2 linked regions of the Arabidopsis thaliana genome follow. The protein of the gene in region 1 purifies or fractionates together with the protein of each later gene. This does not show direct contact. Each region holds a gene or a part of one and is shown on either strand. Other genes may lie near its edges.

Region 1 (3,756 bases):
GTCGACTTTCTCGAACCATTTTCTAAAAGCAAACGTCGTCCAGTTCCTCTCCGATCACCATCAGTCTGCAAAGCATTGATGACATGCTTCAATGCACGAGTCGGCGAGTTACGATTCGCGATCATCAACTCTCCGATCTCGGCGGGACTCAAAGACGCACCGTTTTGAAATATTCCTTCAACTTGAGAGAAAAGCTTGTGCTCTTTAACACCTAAGTAGTTATTAGCGAGCGTTTTAAACGCCGTGAAATCACATAAGGGAAAATGAATGTGTACGTCGACCCGACCCGGTCGAAGCATAGCCGGGTCAATTTGTTCTTTCCCAGTCATCGTAAACACCATGATCCGTTCATCGGCGGTGCAAGAGCTGAGAATACTATCAGTGAAATTCAAAATCCCAGATAAATTCACAGCCGTTGATTTCGTCGAGAGGTGTCGATCTAGATCTTCGATCACGATCACTGATTTGCCTCTGGTTTGTAACAGAAGCATCTTAAGATCTGAATCATCAACTACTTTGGAGAGATCTATATCGTAAACATCGTAATCTAAGAAATTCGCCATTGCTGCGACGAAGCTTGATTTTCCGGTACCGGAAGGTCCGTATAAGAGATAACTCCGTTTCCAAACACGGCCCAGACGATTATAATACTGTTTACCTTTGAGGAAAGATTCGAGATCAGATTTGACTTTGTTCTTCAGATCCGTTTCCATGGCGATGTTGTCGAAGGTACAAGGATGATCAAACGGAATCGATCTCCACCGTCCGTTCTTCTTCTTCTTCTTATTCAGATGATCATCGATTCCGACGTTGATGAAAAGCTTAAGCTCTGTGTTCCTCTGTTCAAGCTCATCAGATACTGTATGTATATGCTGGAGATAAGAACCGAGAATTCTCCGTTTGTCAGCTTTACGAATCTTCAAAACGAAATTCCTCGCTCCATCTTCGTCTTCTCCGTTAATCCAACAAACTCTAGCGCCGAGAAACTCGTCGCCAACGACTTGGTTCCGATCTAACCGGAGGATGATTTCGTTGGACTTTTTCCCGGTGAAGAGGTTCGTGAAATCAGAATTCTCGATCGAGCTTAAGGAATTTAGATACATGTAGACTTTTTGGTAGAGATGATTCTCTTGAACGTTGTCGTTGAATTCTGGGACTTTGTAGAATTGGTAAACATGAAACCAGTCGATGATCTTCCTACGCCATAACTTGACCATGTAAATCAATCCAGTTTTGAATAACAGGATCCTAACTAAGAACAGAGCAAACGTTGACACAAGTAACAAGAGAAACGAATCCCAAAGAATCCCCATGGAGAGAAATAAAATAAGAAAAACGTAAAACCTCTCTCTGGTTCCAAAACTCTCCGCTATATTATATAGTAGTAACGAAGAAGAAGAGTTTACTAGGTTTATTAGAGAATAAAGAAAGCAAACGCATGTTCGGAGAATTGTGAGAAAAAACAAAGAGAGAGTGATTATTTTGACGGAGATTGAGAGAAAGTTTGGAGGAATATTAAGAACAATCGGAGAAAGCCTAAAAGGACGACGAGATATTATTATTTTTTTCTTAAATTATTCTTTAAGAAAAAAGGCGTGACGGGGACGAGGTCACTCAGCAATCAAAGGGGTGATTTTTATAAATCTAGGTAACGGCGATTTAGTTGTTTGACAAGTTCTTTGATTGCTGATTTGGAAGATTTTCTTTTAAAGCTAATAATCCACATGGCAAAAAATATTATTATTAGAAGAAGATAAAATATTCATTAGATTTATAGAGATTTTTTTGATACTTTGGCTGAAAAAAATTCTAAAAAATTATATATTTACTAATTTTAGATAAATAGTAATTAATAAAGCATTTACATTCGGAACTTAATTACCAAGGAAAAATATTAGAGTTAGGATAAATCTTCTATTACTATTCTAATTTCTATAAACCAAAAATTATACGTTTATCTACAAAAAAAAAAAAACTGAGAGAATATTATGGTCTTATCTACCACAAAATATGTTGCATAGTCTTTATAGTTCTCAATTAATATAAGTTAGGTGTCGAGTTAATTATTTATCTTTACGCATAAGGAAGATTAACAGCGTAATCTATTGGTAACGCGATACATGTTGCATTTGATACGGCAACCGAAATATTCTTCGTTGCAGATTAGTTTTCAACTATCGTGACAAGACGAACTTGTAAAGTCAACTTAAACGAGGAAACAAAGCAACATGATTTTTTATTTTTATTTTTGGTACAAAAAAAAATATTATTTATGTTCATTACTCGACTATTCCACATATATATTATTACAATCGGTATCAAGGACAGGACTTCATAGCTAATTCACTTAAGAAACAAGCTAAACTTGTCTGTCATGTTTTTCTAATTTGTCAAGAACATTTAGGGTCGGCGCAAGAGGAATTAGGCACTTCTAATTTATACTCAACTTAACAAGCGGCGAAACCCTTTGGCATTTTGAAGGGTTTTATTTGATGAATTGGTAACTAACTCGTAAATTTTAATATATACATTTTAGTTAGAGAGATGACTAGACTTATACTGAATAAAGAAAAAGAACGAACGGCCAAAAGACAGCTTTGTATAGTTCATGGTTCATGATTAAGCCCAAAAGTTTAGTTCCCACCACCAACTAACACTTACAATAAACAAAATTAAGTATAAGTTTCCGGAATAGCCGCATAATTATTCTTCCTATTATATAGCAGAAGAATAGACCGGACAATTTATGCCCCTATGCTAATTTTCTTAAACTATTTTGCTTTCAACGTCGACTAATTAAATTTTGATTTAACCATTAAATGAGTGCAGCACTTATTTCTTTCCAACAATTAATAGTTTTAATATTTTGCTTATTGTTGATATGTAGCGAGAGCATCGGATATTTGTATTTCCTAACTTGCACCAAAAATCAGCCTACTACAAAGAAGTTTAATCGACCAAAACACCGCCATTCAACGAGGGACTCAGTAATTTGGATAATATCGCAACTAATCATAATTAATTCATTACAGTTACAAGAAAAGTGTCATGTTCATGAGTAAATACACTTGTGGTCTTTTTATAAGATTGCATGTGTTTGGTGTTTGTTATTTGGTACAAGAAATATCAACACTCATTTAATTATGTTAAGGTATAAGTCTATATCATATAACTCTTATTTGGTTATCTATCTGTTGTTTTCTTTTTATTTGGTTAAAGCATTCATTTTGCTTAATGTAGATTTTTTTTGAATCTTAATATCATGCAAACTTAAATATGTTTTCGTCTAAAGACTAACGTGCAGACTTTTCATTGTTTATTTTGTTTGTAATTTGGAGGACTCTTCAAACAAGAATAGCTTCGTTTATACAAGGTGTGTATTGGCGGACTCAAAAAGACTTTGAATGTTTCAGCATGGGAATTTTCAAATTTCCTGAAGCCATACCCATACACGGTGGTCCTATATTAATAATAATTACACTCACTGGAAATAAATGTTCTTCCGTTATTTTTATCAGCTTTTGCTTTACATTTTCTGCACTAATCGATTGCCTGTAAAGTTGTACCAGTTGAACGTCATCGGTATGTGCATTCATCATGATTCCGTGTTCAATTATGCATATATTAAGATCGAGCTGATCAATCTAGTTGATCCCATTTAAACCAAACTAAAACCGTATTTAAACTTTTAAATACTGCAAATCCAGGTCAAACAAAACTGAAACATATGATATTTCTTACACATTTTATAACTCA
Region 2 (3,756 bases), on another chromosome or scaffold:
CATATGGCAGGCCATTGGTTCAAATGAACTTAAAAAGCAATCTTTTACCTTTTGATGCGTCTCCCCAGCACCCTCTTGAACACAGTTGACGAATTCATGATCCCGTTTCAGAGCAACATGGCATATTTGGCGGACCTTGATAGCAAAAAAACACAGTTCAAGATTCCAACCCAAAAGTGAAAGCCTTTGTGCAAGAAACTGACACTTACCTCATCAGATACTGTGGCGGAAAATAAAAATGTTTGTCTCTGCTTAGGAACAGCAGCAATTATCCTCTCAATTTCCCTTCGGAAACCCATGTCCAAGAGATGATCAGCTTCATCAAGCACAAGGACTTTCACACCCATCAACCTTGTTGCAAATCCAGAAGTGTTGTCGATATGGTCTTTGAGCCTTCCGGGTGTAGCCACGAGAATCTGAGAGTGTGAAAATATGTTATTATTCAAAAATATACAGAGACAAAGATCACCATCTCTGCAGCCACTTTGACTGCAGGGAAGACAAATAATGCAAAAAAATCTAAATGCATAATGAGGCTTAGATCAAAGAACATATCCTGTGACTGAAAAACAATCCTAACTTGGACAGGGAAATCCATTTCTTTTTAAAAAACAATCTATCTTAATTCATATTCTTAGAAATTCAAATCATGAGTCCATATTGTTCTAGCGAAGGATAACCAACTCAGTTTGAAAAGAAATATATGCAACTCTATTGGTCAGATAACAAGTTTCATCTGAGAAGTCCAGCTCAATGGAAATGCATGATTTGCTCAGAAATAAGTTTACATATTAATACAAATGAAAATTTACCTGGCAAGGACTCTTTTGCAAGCGCCTTTGCTCCGTAGGAAGCTTAGTGCCTCCAATCACAACTTGAACACCAATAGATGGGTGATACTTGAGCAAGATGTTTGCTTCTGCAGCAGCTTGACAAGCAAGTTCCCGAGTAGGACATACCACAAGCACAATAATTGGGGGATGCCTATTATCACGGCTTGCAGGAGGAGCTTTGATAACAGCTTCAATTGATGGAAGCTTGGAAAAAGAAACATCAACATTAATAACAAACCCCAATTAATCAAACTGATTGTAATCCTAAATGACCAACATGAACCCAAAAAGGGTATCTCACCAAAAATGCAACTGTTTTCCCAGTGCCTGTTTTGGCCTTCGCAAGGATATCTTTACCTGGAAAACCAAGGAAGAATAATTAATAGAGGAATAGTCAAGCTTCAAAATGTTTAAGTCATGACAAAACATAAGGAATCATGAAGAAAGATGCAAAAGTTTCTGCCTTTTAGGCAAGTTCACCTTGGAGAATGAGAGGAAGAGTAGCCTCCTGAACAACAGTCATTGTCTTAAATCCAGCATCCTCAATTCCTTTTAACGTTAAGGGAGACAGTGGGAACTGATCAAATCTGTAAGAACCATTTTACCATAAAGAGAAATCTGAATCAAACACCACTAAGAATAGCTCTGAAGCTATCTCCGAAAGAAACGCAAAAAATGTACCTTGTCTTTGACAAATAAGAATCTGAAGTTTTAGCAATTTGAGTCACTAGAGGCGTAGTAGAAGCTGGTTTCTTAATAAGAGGCTCATCAACATCAGATTTGCCTTCTCTTCCCCTCTTTAGACTCTTATTGTTGTCCTTGACTAGCTTTCCCGAGCCATCTTCGTCACTCGTCAACTTCTTCACAAGTTTAGCACGAATCTCTCGTCTCTTCTTACCGGATTTGGGTCCATCGGAATTCATGCCAACGAGTGGAGAAAAGACGGAAGAGAACGGTGAAGCGTATGCCTTTAACTGTAAGGCTCTGCAACTACCAAATTCCCGCCGTCGGTTATTTTAGGGTTTAAAAGGTTTTGTAGGAAACACAATTTAGGGCTTAAGGGTACAGATGCGAGTGGCCCAAAATGTCAACAAATATACAAAACGGCATGTAGTTGCTCCCTTTGCTTTGAAACGTGTTGTTTTATATCAGAAAAAAGTTTTGTTAAATCTTCAAACACGTATAATCCAACTTAATACTTTTTTTGTTTTTTTAGTGAAAATCGAAATACTCATGTTAACAAGCCATTACAAACAAAAGACCTTTATAAGAAGGCAACTTTTATAGGATTTTTTAGTTAGGAAGTCTTAAGAGTGTAGCAAGAATGACAAGAGACTACACGTCTACACTTACAAAACATTAAAGTTTTAAAACCAAAGCAGATCACTAGGAAAAAAGAAAATCTACTTGGTTCTAAGACCAGGAACGTTTTTGAGACCCATCTTGCCAAGAACATTTTTGGGGATAGCTGGTGGGCTGTCAAGTCCCATGCTGCGGCTAAACTCATTGGCCAGCTCCACCAGTCTGGTCGTGTCTCTTGCAATCATCTTCTGAGATTTGTAGTAACCCAACCACGCCTGATACGCCGCCTCCTTGTTCTTCATTTCCACTTGGCTCAGCCCTTTCTGCACCTGAATTCAACAAGTTTATTATACCCAGCAATACTCACTCATACTCACACCCTTCAAAAATCATAGCTTTTAACTTCAAAGAGTTGTGTTATGAGATTCAGGTTCAGTTTCAAGTTCCCTACTCATTCTGGATTGCCAGCAAATATGAGTTAAGAAAGGCTTGCCAAGTTCAGTAGAATCACAAATTCATGTGAGTGCGCTTATATGAAAATGCTTACCCTTTTCACAGCCTCTGGGTCTATTGGCGGTAGTGGAGACTTGGTGATGGGCAAGTCTTTAACAGATGACATAAAGTACTCTTCCCATGGTGCCAACAATAAGACTCCTTCCCCTTCCTTCCCTTTCCGCCCGGTTCTGCCAAGTCTATGTATATACTGCTCCCTGTCTGATGGCAATCCCATCTGCAAAAGCAAACAACTTCAGTTAAACAAAAGAGATAAAATTTGTAGTCGCAGAACAATTCCATGTCAGAAAACTATGGTTACCTGTACGACCAATGACACATCAGGGTAATCCACACCACGAGCAGATACATCAGATGTGACTAGGATAATAGCCTTGGACTTGCGGAACTCATCAGAAACTCTGGTTCTGTAACTCTGCGGTTTTCTAGAATGGATCTCTCTGACGTTCAGGCTTAGCTGACTAAGCAGATCAGCCACCAATCTTGTCACCATAGCAGTTGTACAGAAAATGATAACCTACAACAGCAACGAAATCGGGATAGTTCAGAAATACAGACATTGGTTATTCATAATGGCACTAGAGAGATAATGTTACCTTATAGTCCACATTATCTGCGATGTGTTCTTTAAGAAGCACATGTAGAAGCGAAAAATGTCTATCCAGTGATGCAATCATGTACATTTGTGTGACCTGGAGATAAAACAAACATAAGAAACTGATAACATCCAATCATATGGCAGGCCATTCACTCAAATTAAGCTAAAGAGAAATCTTTTACCTTTTGATGTGTCTCCCCAGAGCCCTCTTGGACACAATTGATGAACTCATGATCCCGTTTCAGAGCAACATGGCATATTTGGCGGACCTTGACACCAAAAAACACAGTTCAAGATTCCAACCCAAAAAATGAGAGCCTTTGTACTAGAAAGTGACAGTAACCTCTTCAGGTACGGTGGCAGAAAATAAAAATGTTTGTCTCTGCTTAGGAACAGCGGCAATTATCCTCTCAATGTCCCTTCGGAAACCCATGTCCAAGAGATGATCAGCTTCGTCAAGCACAAGGACTTTCACACCCATCAATCTTGTTGCGAATCCAGAAGTGTTTT

What was found.
Region 2: the proteins of AT2G46620 (region 1) and STRS2 fractionate together in Arabidopsis thaliana (co-fractionation; one large-scale study listed by BioGRID). This does not show direct contact.

Annotation. Positions count from the first base shown.
Region 1 is NC_003071.7:19,139,234-19,142,989, forward strand, and holds the start of AT2G46620 (P-loop containing nucleoside triphosphate hydrolases superfamily protein), read right to left. Parts: upstream 1,617-3,756; 5' UTR 1,314-1,616; coding exon 1-1,313.
Region 2 is NC_003076.8:2,792,540-2,796,295, reverse strand, and holds the start of STRS2 (DEA(D/H)-box RNA helicase family protein), read right to left. Parts: upstream 1,909-3,756; 5' UTR 1,757-1,908; coding exon 1,515-1,756; intron 1,421-1,514; coding exon 1,314-1,420; intron 1,191-1,313; coding exon 1,135-1,190; intron 1,038-1,134; coding exon 813-1,037; intron 417-812; coding exon 210-416; intron 136-209; coding exon 49-135; intron 1-48. Other genes in the region: PDE340 (P-loop containing nucleoside triphosphate hydrolases superfamily protein), read right to left, coding at 2,237-2,464, 2,683-2,865, 2,950-3,165, 3,245-3,340, 3,429-3,515, 3,590-3,756.